3 linked regions of the Coturnix japonica genome follow. Each later gene encodes a partner of the first gene's protein in a complex. Links are inferred from orthologs where the notes say so. Each region holds a gene or a part of one and is shown on either strand. Other genes may lie near its edges.

Region 1 (3,520 bases):
TGTGCTACAACCCATTAACATGGACCAACAGCAGCTGTAGTTTCCTTTTAGCTATTGAATCCTGAACGTAGCACTGCTCCTACAGCGTATGTTGCTCAAACTGTTTTGCTGTTCTGCATCCTTCTGGGACTTTCCTCCTCTGAGTTTTCCCAGTGATTCGGGATCATACCAGCAGCCTGGGCTGGCTGGCAGCAGCAGCCCACCTTAGCTAGGTATCACGGAGCCAGCCGGGGATCCCCCCCCTCCTTTTCCTATGCGTGTTTCCTTGTTAAAGCTCGAAGCGTCCGAGAAGAGGCGCGTCAGTGGGGGGGGGCTTGGAGGGAGAGCGGCGGGGAGCATCCCTGCGCCTTTAAAAGGCTGCGACCGGCCGCCCGGTCCCGTCCCGTCCCGCCCCGCCCGCTGACCGAGCCGCTGATCCCGGCAGGGCCGCGTGAGCCGGGCGGCCAGCGCGGCGCGGGCGGCGGGCGGCGGGGAGGGAGGCCGACTGCAGGCCGAGATGCTGCAGCTCGACCTCATCGACGCCGCCGGGGATGCGCCGGCTGAGGAGCAGACGGCGCCCGAGCCCCTGCAAAAGGAGCCGCCGCCCGCCAGCACCGACAGCTACCGGCCCAAGCGCCCCACCACGCTCAACCTCTTCCCGCAGGTGCCTCGCAGCCAGGTGAGCGCCGGCACGGGGGGATCTCGCGGCGCTGGGGGATTCTGTCGGGGATGGGTGCGTGGTCGGGGACGTGGAGGGATGCGGGGGGAGATGAGCTCGTTTCCTGCTGAGCCGAGCCCCTCCGAGCGTGGGGAGGCTTAAGGGTGGGCTGTGCCCGCCCCGGGCCCGTAGGGCCAGGGTAAGGGGACAGGGAGCGGGGAAGGGACCTTAGTGGGGACGGGGAGCTAATGAGGCGTGGCAGCCTGAACGCGTGAATGAGCCATCCGTCCCAGCGCCGCGTCCCAGATCTGGGGCTGCCAGCGCCGCAGCCGCAGCCTGGGACGGGCCGGTGACGCAGCCCTGTGCGTGCGCTCGGCTCTGGGACTGGGGCCCTTCTCCTGGGCGGCTACACCCGGCTAGGGGGGCATCGGTGTCAGCGCCCCGTGCAAAATCGCAGCGACAGTCGCATTACCCGAAATGGTGGTCAGGAGAATGGGGGTTTGTCTCGCTCACTCTCAGGGCTTGCAGGAGGTTTTGGATGGGGTGTTTTCCCAGATGCAGTAGTGGGGCTGTCCCCAGGAGAGTTACGCTGGAGTCCCTTGGCCCCATCTCTCCTGCAAACCTTGCAGACCTGCACAAGGTGTGCTGCACACAGGGCTATTTTTGCCTTCCTCCTGCTTTCAGCAGTGGCTTCTCTTGCCAAGTAGGAGGATTTTCATGGCAGTGACGTGCAGCTGAGGGGCTTGAAGCTAGAGGCAGGTGTCCCTGCGGGTGACAGATGGGGCGTAGTCGGAGCTAGGTGTCACCAGCCTGGAACCTGCAGCTGATGCCAGCTCTGCCTGAGGCCATGGGTGGGAGGAGGAGGAGGAGGGCACAGAGCCAGGACAATGGCTGCGGGGCAGCTGGCACCGGGGACAAAGGCAGCAGGGATGGGGAGGTGGGGGGTGGGGGGGAGCCTGCTGGAGCATAATGGACAAGGGGACAGCAGGCAGCCTTGTCCCACCCTGCGCAGGGACCCCGAGGAGCCGGTGGCACGTGGGAGCCACATCCAGCTGGGGGGACGGGGACGGCAAAGGCCCCCCCCGGGCAGCTGGTCCCAACCAGCGTCCAGACCTGCGGAGAGGTATTTTTGGGGTGTGTGGGTTGTATAGATGGTGGGCTGGGGAGGGGAGATGATGGTGTCCTTGCAGGGGATGGTGGAGGCTGTGGGACCACACTGGGATCCATGGGTGTGGTCTGTGCTGAGGACTTTGGGGACAGGAGCTTTCCCACACAGGTCTGATAAAGCTGGCAGCAGGAACATGGAGTGCCTGTGCTCCAGGACAGGGAATCCCATGGATCTTAGTGGGCATTAAGGCAGAGGGTTGCTTGCAGGAGAAAACCCCAAGAATCCCAAGCTTGATGCTTGAGCAAAAACTAGCAGCACAGAAAATGTGGCTGCTGCAGAGGGACAAAGACTTGTGCTGCCCCCAGAACCATCTGCAAAGTCTGGGAGCAAAGTGTGCACTGGTTGCACTTGAGAATGGTCACAGCGACCCTGAGGAAGTGCTTGGGTGGTCTCAGGCATTGCCCAGGGACCGTGATGGCTCTGGCTTCTGCACATCTCTGTGGGGCAGGCAGGGACAGGCGCCACGTGCTGTTTACTGCTGGAGTGACAAGGCGGCTTTGTTCTCCTCCCCAGGACACCCTGAATAACAACTCTCTGGGGAAAAAGCACAGTTGGCAAGAGCGGGTGTCCCGGTCATCGTCCCCTCTGAAGACGGGTGAGTTGTGGGGCTGGTAACTGAGAGCAGCCCCTTGCACTCTTTGGTAGCTCCTAGGAGTCAATCCTTGGCCCAGGGCTGGGGCCAAGCCTTGCCGAAACAGAGGGTTGGGAGACTGTCCCCAGTGGGCATGTGTCCAGCTTGAGTCTGGGGCATCCCTATCAGTGGGAGCACAAATACTGCTCTTCTCCTCACAGGTGAACAGACCCCTCCCCATGACCACGTTTGCCTGAGTGATGAGGTCAATCACCAAAACAGCACAACCTCCACCAAAGACCGGGGCACATCCACGGAGAGCCCATGCCGGCGCACGGCAGCCACCCAGATGGCACCCGCCTGCGTTGCCTCATCCCGGCCCCCCGAGAAGCACCAGGCTGCCAGCCGACCCCCACCCCACGGTGCCAGTGTGGTGGTGGTGACGTCGAGGGCTCCCGAGGCCCACCGGGACCGCATCCGCTACCAGACAGATGTGAGGCTGGAGGCCACTGAGGAGATCTACCTGACACCTGTGCAGAAGAACTCAGACCCGCTGGAGACCGAAAAGCCGTTCCTGTCACAGTCCAGTGAGAACCGTATGTCTATCAGCTCCGATATCGACACTTCCAGCTATTCAGCCCTGGCTGGGAAAACCAACCCCTCCATCAGTGAGGAGGATGAGGTGCTGGACTACATGTCCTCCCCTGACAAGACGAGCCTGCCCCGGGCCTCCTGCGGCGGTGGGAGCAGTGGCTACCGGCCAGGCCACGGCCTTCAGAGAGCATCCGTGAGCTCGGACACCAGTGCCCTCTCCTACGACTCGGTCAAGTACACGCTGGTGGTGGATGAGAACGTGCAGCTGGAGCTGGTCAGCCTCAAGCAGTGCTACTCGGGCTACAGTGATGAGAGTGACTCGGCTACTGTCTATGACAACTGCGTCTCCTCACCCTACGAGTCAGCCATCGGCGAGGAGTATGAGGAGGATGCGCTGAAGCGTGACTCGGTCTGCCTCTCTGAGGACTCCACCCCTGAGGCGGACATTCATTTCTCCAAGAAGTTCCTCAACGTCTTCATGAGTGGCCGGTCGCGTTCCTCCAGTGAGTGCTAGGCAGGGAGAGGATGTGGGCTGAGGGCTGCACCCCCT
Region 2 (3,520 bases), on another chromosome or scaffold:
CAATAAGTTTTGGTGCCAATCACAGTGTTTTCATGCTGTCTGTTCTGCAGCCAGCCAAGCTCGGGACCTGCTGTCCAAAATGCTGGTCATTGATCCAGCCAAGCGCATATCAGTGGATGAGGCCCTGCAGCACCCATACATCAACGTCTGGTACGACCCCGCCGAGGTGGAGGCGGTGAGTGGGATGCAGCTCTGTGCTGCAGGCTGGAAAAACGTGGGGATGGTGCTTTATGACATAAATTCCTAAAATGATGGATGATGATGTATGGGCTCATGTGTGTTCCTGGGCTATGGGACATGAAATAGCATGCATAGGTAAAAACTCAGAGGTGTTTGAAAGCAGTGTATGGAAAGAGCACTCCATCTGCAGTGGAAGAAATCCAACTGATAGCAATGGGAAAATAAGGCCCCAATCCCTGCAGAACAACAACAAAATAACCACCAGTTTTTTACTGCATGAGTTTTTGCACAATACATGGCTCAGAGGTGCTCCGTAGGGAATGGCTTTGCCATCTACAGAACCTTTAACTCTGTGGGCTTATTTTCTTTAAAAAACAAAAAGTTTCATCAATCTAGAGTGCAGACTTAGAACTGCAGCCACTTCCATGGAACCTGACAGATGCATTAGTTTCACAAGAGCAAGGTCAAATATCTCACTAGTCTCATGTTTTGTTCCTTGTTTACGTTAACTATAGTCTATGTTCTATATGTGGCCCAAAAAAATTCCTCTTCACTCAGTACAGCCCAGGTGGACCCAAAGGTTGCTTACTCATGAGCTATGGTATTTAATACACAGCCTTAAAAATGTCAGTGCGAGTTATTCTGGACTGCTGTCTGTTTGGTGCTCTGATTGTCCTTTGCCTGTGCAAAAGTTCTGCATATGGGATTTATGGGCTTGGCACAAGCAGAATGATGGCAGCACTGACCAAATCCCATTGCAGCACAGTTCTGTAATTTGCAGATTTTGCAACACATTGCAGCCTCATGTTCTGAAGAGGATGAGGGAGAAGCACTGTCCATATTAAGAGCTGATTTCCAGAGATGTTAACACTTCTAATATTCATGTTTGGGTGTTTTGCACACATGGGATAATGAACAAAGAGGGAGAGGAAAATTTATCTTTACCTAAGTAAGTAGTGCTAATTATTTATGGTATAGTGAAAAATATATTGAACGATTTTGTTCCTCTTCTGCAGCCGCCCCCCCAGATCTATGACAAACAACTGGACGAGCGGGAGCACACCATTGAGGAGTGGAAAGGTGCGCACAGCTCAGAGTTAGGTGGAGAGGTCCCATCCCACGTGTGTCTGCGTAACTCCTCTGGCATCAAGAACCAAACCCAGCCCTAAGAACCGCTGCTTGATAGTGAAAATATTGCATAGGTCACTCTGAAAGCAATGCCTCGATTTGTTCCCTTGAAAACTACAACAGATACAACAACAACTCAAAACCTGCTGTTTTTCAATGTAGTCACCTTCATTACTTATGCATTTTCACAAGCAATGAGGCCAGCCTGCATGCTGCTTTTGTGAAAATCTGCATGGCCTTACTTTTGGAGCAGCCCTCACAGATACGAATATCCTGGGTACTGTCATTGTCAGCACAGATCAGCATTGAGAAGGGAGGTGCAGATTATGTTGTTTCATTGAAATGTTATCACCTAGAAAACGGGGTGCTGGTTTAACAGGAAGATACGCCATCATTTTTCATATAGCAAAGCTGTACTGCTCCATTTCTACTTAAAGCAGCGTGAAACAACGAATGTGTTCTAGCGTAGCCCTGTTTGTCTTAATACAGCTCCAAGAAGAGCTGTCAGTAGAGGAGAGGAATGGAAGAGAGAGGTTTTATGTGAGCAGAGCTGTCAGAACTTAGGAGGACAGGATAGGGTTGGACTATGGGGGGCATCAGAGGATTTTGTTGTTGCTGATGACCGGTACTGTTCTTGTTTGTAACTGTTGGAATTGTCTGTTCCAGAACTCATCTACAAAGAAGTAATGAATTCTGAAGAAAAAACGAAAAATGGCGTAGTAAAAGGACAGCCGTCTCCTTCAGGTACTCAGCCCCAGTGAATGGCGCAGTTGTGTCTCCTTTCTGTGTTGACAGAAAGAAAACAGAAACAGATAAAGCATTCAGGTGCACCAGAAGCTACGTAGACTAATTTCAGAGGTTTCAGGGCAATTCAGTGATTTAGTGGGTTGAGCTTTATTAATGGAACTGCAGTGCTATGTTAATGCTTGAAATGGGGTCTGCTTGGAATTTGGGACTGAGCTGCCCTGGTAACAGTGGTAAATAATATTTATGTTTATGATAGATGTTTACTTGTGTTACTGATAACTTCATGGAGGTTCATCATTTTGCAGAGTCAGAATGATTGTGAAGGTTAATGCTGTCATTTTACAGAGGACAAGTGAACTGTGATGCACAAAAATGCTGTCACAACCAAAATCCTGAACTTGGGCACCTGGTCCTTAACTAAGAGACAAAGCAGCTTTGTCTCCCCACTCCTGTGTCTGCATTGCCACCATATGATCTCATGCTAGCCCACATATTGGAGGGCTGCTGTGTTTGCATGGTTGGGTTTGCTTGTTAGTTTGCTCTTTGAGTCCTCATGCTGATAACCCACATAATCCCAGATGACATCTGATTGTTGGGTGTTGGTAACGCTGAGGAGACTGATAAGAAGTGTTAAGGAGTGACAAGGATGGGATGTTGAGCACAATAAGATGGCTTGATAAGAAACCGAGGGTTAGGATATGGCATGAACTGTACCCCTTTCAAAGAGACTGCTGAGGGAGAGATTTTCTGGGTAAAATATCTGACATTACCCAATGTCTGAAGCCGGTAGGGCCCATTTTCTGCTCATGTTGTTCAGAACGCTCTGAACATTGCCACAGGGTTGCATTCTCCTCTATTTGACCTGTGAGAGGTTCTGAGGTTTCGGGTTGAATCACGGTGGTGTTCATTTTCGTAGCACAGGTGCAGCAGTGAACAGCAGCGAGAGCCTCCCCCCATCCTCATCGGCCAATGACATCTCCTCCATGTCCACGGATCAGACGCTGGCGTCCGACACGGACAGCAGCCTGGAAGCGTCGGCGGGGCCACTGGGGTGCTGCAGGTGACTAGCCGCCTGCCTGCGGAACCCCGCCTTCTTCAGGGGGTGATAGCATCCAGAGGGAAAGCAACAGAGCTAAGGGACGGAGGGAAATAAAATGCACAGATTTAAACGAAACAAACAAATCTTTTCCGCCTGCTTCTCCTACAGAGCTATGTAATGCAGCTCAGCTCAAGTGTGTATGTAACTCATAGTTGCTCTGCTTTGGTCTTCTTCCAATGATGCTTTCTGGGGTGGGGGAGGAAAAGGATTCTTTAAATCCTTTTTGGTTTTTTTCCACCCTTACAAGATGCAAAATTAATGGCTGCAAAACCAGCGACCCACAGCTGTCCTCTCACGCTGGCATGACAAGGTGCGCAGTGCCACTTCACAACACACCAGTGCGGATCTGCCCTCACCCTGCTCTGT
Region 3 (3,520 bases), on another chromosome or scaffold:
TCTTTTAACTTCCTCTGTTTTGCAGAAGTATATCCTTTGCCAGTTATTTCTTATTATTTCAAGTAAAATACATCTTGCTTTCAATACTCAGATGCAGTCTTGTGTTGCTTCTCTTTTTTCTCTATGAAGATACTCCTAATTAATGGTGAAGTTGAGATTGTGTGGTAATTTTCTGTTTTAATTTCTGTTGGTCATTTGTTTTAACATAACTGTTAGCTGAAAATTAGACACTGTTTTTCTTAGCTATGAAACCTTAGATATTGATCAATGGAATAAAGTTATAGAGCAGCTAGGAACACCGTGCCCCGAATTTATGAAGAAATTACAGCCCACAGTTCGAACTTACGTGGAGAACAGACCCAAGTATGCTGGATACAGCTTTGAGAAACTCTTTCCAGATGTCCTTTTCCCAGCTGATTCTGAACACAACAAACTTAAAGGTAAGGTCTGCCTTTTGTGTGCTGTATGTTTTTAAAGTTTTTAAACTGTGTCATACTGAATAGAAATGCATCTTGCTTTTGTTCAATATAAAATCCTCCTGTTAAGGATTTAAGTGTTAAAATATTTATGTAATGGGGGCAGATGGAAGTGCTAAGGTATGGTTACTGCCACTTCCTCATATTCTCTGGAATAGCTCCTATTCTTTAGATATCTGAATAAAGAAACAGGAGTGTATTTCTCACAATAACAGACGTGGGTTAGAGAAAAATGAGAGGAGAGGGGAGTGTAGATGTTTCATAGCCACAGTGGACCTTCTGTACTGCCAGCAGGTAAGGATGCCATGTCCAGGGTGGTGTATACTGAAACCCTGGTGGGAGACATCTGTCACTTGATGTGATCGTGGTAAGGCCTTTGTGTCAGGCCTATATATGAATACTTTGCCCATAGAAAAATAATTAAAAAAAATACAAACCTCAGCTATACCTTGAAACTCATAACATATTTTACGTATTATATCCTTTCGGATCATCACAACCAATGCTTTTCCTTCTTCAGCATTTATCTTTCAAGCACTTCAGAAATGTTCTCTCTCTCCTTCCAATCTGATGAACTATTATTACTTTGTACAATTACTTTCAATCTTCATAGTGATGACTTCAGCATTTAGCTGAATTTGAATATCCCTTTCTAAAAGGGAACTTAGCTAACTGAAAGAAAAGGTTGATGGAAGTTGCAGTGTTGCAGCTGGATGTTGCATAGAAATGACTTGATGGCTTTGTGGCATACTGTGTTTCCATCCAGATGATTTACTAGCCTTACATTGAAATGGCCACTTTAATTAATGGACACTCTATTTGTCTTCAGTGTATTTGTGTGGTTTTCCTTCTTTTTATTGCATTTTGTTTCTTGTCTGTGTTTGGCCAGTAAAGATTTTTCTCCTAGCTGGAGGTTATCCCTTCTCATATTTCAGCCAATCTTTGCTTAAGCAAAAATAATGGGTGCTTTCTTTTTCTACTCTGTTTTGCTGAGGAAGAAAAGAGAGATTAGAAAAAGATGTAGGAAGGAGGAGTTATTGGTTATGTCCATTTTTGCCCAGTCCTCTATTTTTAAAACGAAATCTTTTATAACTATTTTCTAGTCTTCTGTTAGTTTCCCAGCTCCTATTCTCAAATTACTATTTAAATTATTATTGTCCTGCTAACAAGCCTGATAAATAAGAAACATTCTGTGGTTGGTGTTCCCTTGCCTGCTTGTAGGACGATTGTGCACAGTTGCTGTAGAACTATCTTCCATGGAATGTTTTACTTTTTTTCTAAATACTACACAGTCATAAATTCTTTCCAAAACATTTATCTCTTTGTTTTCCTTCCTTCATCAAAAGCACCATTTTCTTAAACCTCAAAGTACATGAGGGTTGTATAAATAATAAAATGGAGTTTGTTATTTAAGCGTTCTTTCTTTATGAGCTTTGAAATACTGTTATGTGCATTTGGCACCTGTCTAAATAGAACGTTTCACTTTTGCAGCAAGTCAAGCAAGGGATTTGTTATCAAAAATGCTTGTAGTAGATCCAGACAAGAGAATTTCCGTTGATGAGGCCTTACGTCACCCTTATATTACTGTCTGGTATGATCCGTCAGAAGCCGAAGCTGTAAGTCCTTGTTTTTGGTCTCCAATGAGGAAGATCTTTTATCAAAGCAAACTTGTTTCGATTCTCTGTGTAACTGCTTCAGAGGAGGCTGCTTCGTGCTCTTCCAGTTTCGCTAGAAGCTTAATTGAACAGTAGTAATATTTTTTGACATGGTCGATATGTTTATTGGAATTAGTAATAGGAATGGGCACAGACTTGTAGGTAGCTGCAGTACTTGTGTATGTGGTTTATGTATAATTGCATGTAAATTCCTAGACATGGAGCAATGAATTTGAAGTCTCCGATATAGAGTTCTGATTTATTGAGTTGTAGTTGTTTCAACATGGTTTTTCTGCTTGTGATTGCATTCCACGTGTTTTCTCCTGGGCATTGTTACAGCAATTGATAGCACTCTTTAACTAGCAAATAATAAGCGTTTCGTCAAAATCTGATACAAGATCTCAAGCTTTGAATTACTGACACTGATGAAGGAAGAGATTAACTGAAAATCTTCCTTTAAAAAATAATTTCAGTCTATCTATCTATCTATCTATCTATCTATCTATCTATCTATCACAAAAAAAAAAAAAAAAAACCCCAAAAAAAAACCCAACTCTCATTTTTAAGAAAAAGCAAGCTGGTGATGGCCCACAAAGAATCAGGAAAGATGTTTGGTGTAAGTGGTACAATTAGAATTCTGCTGATCTATTATATCTAGAGAGAATATGAATAAGCAACTCTAAATAGGTCAAAAGGACTGCTTGAGACCACTGCAGTTTAAGAGCATTATTACCAGCCCTTTCAGTTTTTGTTTTAATTTTTACACTAACATTCACAAATGAGCTAACTAGAACAAGTTGAAAACACAAAGCAGCATCTAGAAAATGAACCGTGTATGAGAGATTATTTGATTATGTAAATACGGTATTTTTAAATCAGGTTCTTATTCTGAATATCTTATTTCCATTTTTCATTAATTGTGCTTGTCTGTCCCCTTTGACTGCTTTATCATGAGTTAGTTCTGTTTTCCAGCCTCCACCAAAGATACCAGATAAGCAGTTAGATGAGAGGGAGCACACAATAGAAGAATGGAAAGGTGAGAATGATCCTTTTGCATATCCTAAAGGTTTTTAATGTTGATGGGCTCCTAGGTTTACTGTTACTAAGATTCTGAGTAATGTAATAGTATATACTTAAACTGCTTGGAATGGCAAGGGAATAGATCAGTGCTTTACAACCTCTTGGTTGTCAGGACAGGAAACATTTTCTGTAAAGGTGAAGAGTCTTTGTAGGGAGATGAAGGTCACTCAGCTGTAGGCCTACTCATTTGAATTGCCTTTCATAAATGGTAAAGCAGCATTTTTAGAAAGGGAAACACTTCTGGACAAAAGTCGTATGGGTGAAAAGGGATGAATGAGTTGGAGCATGCAAGTCTGAACATTAGTGTGT

The links.
Region 2: the proteins of MAPK8IP1 (region 1) and MAPK10 are in contact, whole or in part, in a crystal structure (PDB 3PTG), measured with the Homo sapiens proteins. The link is inferred for Coturnix japonica from reciprocal best matches to the Homo sapiens genes MAPK8IP1 and MAPK10. Residues at the interface, in NP_005447.1 of Homo sapiens: Pro158, Lys159, Arg160, Pro161, Thr162, Thr163, Leu164, Asn165, Leu166; in NP_620448.1 of Homo sapiens: Asp150, Ala151, Gln155, Val156, Met159, Leu161, Glu164, Arg165, Tyr168, Leu169, Tyr171, Val197, Lys198, Ser199, Asp200, Cys201, Trp362, Asp364, Glu367.
Region 3: the proteins of MAPK8IP1 (region 1) and MAPK8 are in contact, whole or in part, in a crystal structure (PDB 3VUM), measured with the Homo sapiens proteins. The link is inferred for Coturnix japonica from reciprocal best matches to the Homo sapiens genes MAPK8IP1 and MAPK8. Residues at the interface, in NP_005447.1 of Homo sapiens: Arg157, Pro158, Lys159, Arg160, Pro161, Thr162, Thr163, Leu164, Asn165, Leu166; in NP_001310257.1 of Homo sapiens: Lys83, Asp112, Ala113, Gln117, Val118, Met121, Leu123, Glu126, Arg127, Tyr130, Tyr133, Val159, Lys160, Ser161, Asp162, His286, Val323, Trp324, Asp326, Glu329.

What each region holds. Positions count from the first base shown.
Region 1 is NC_029520.1:21,393,968-21,397,487, reverse strand, and holds part of MAPK8IP1 (C-Jun-amino-terminal kinase-interacting protein 1), read left to right. Parts: intron 1-424; coding exon 425-658; intron 659-1,649; coding exon 1,650-1,760; intron 1,761-2,318; coding exon 2,319-2,400; intron 2,401-2,597; coding exon 2,598-3,473; intron 3,474-3,520. UniProt on the Homo sapiens protein: The JNK-interacting protein (JIP) group of scaffold proteins selectively mediates JNK signaling by aggregating specific components of the MAPK cascade to form a functional JNK signaling module. Required for JNK activation in response to excitotoxic stress.
Region 2 is NC_029519.1:40,883,414-40,886,933, reverse strand, and holds part of MAPK10 (mitogen-activated protein kinase 10), read left to right. Parts: intron 1-50; coding exon 51-175; intron 176-1,196; coding exon 1,197-1,260; intron 1,261-1,974; coding exon 1,975-2,052; intron 2,053-2,971; coding exon of another isoform or gene 2,972-2,976; coding exon 2,977-3,119; 3' UTR 3,120-3,520. UniProt on the Homo sapiens protein: Serine/threonine-protein kinase involved in various processes such as neuronal proliferation, differentiation, migration and programmed cell death.
Region 3 is NC_029521.1:15,712,377-15,715,896, forward strand, and holds part of MAPK8 (mitogen-activated protein kinase 8), read left to right. Parts: intron 1-257; coding exon 258-440; intron 441-1,967; coding exon 1,968-2,092; intron 2,093-3,103; coding exon 3,104-3,167; intron 3,168-3,520. UniProt on the Homo sapiens protein: Serine/threonine-protein kinase involved in various processes such as cell proliferation, differentiation, migration, transformation and programmed cell death.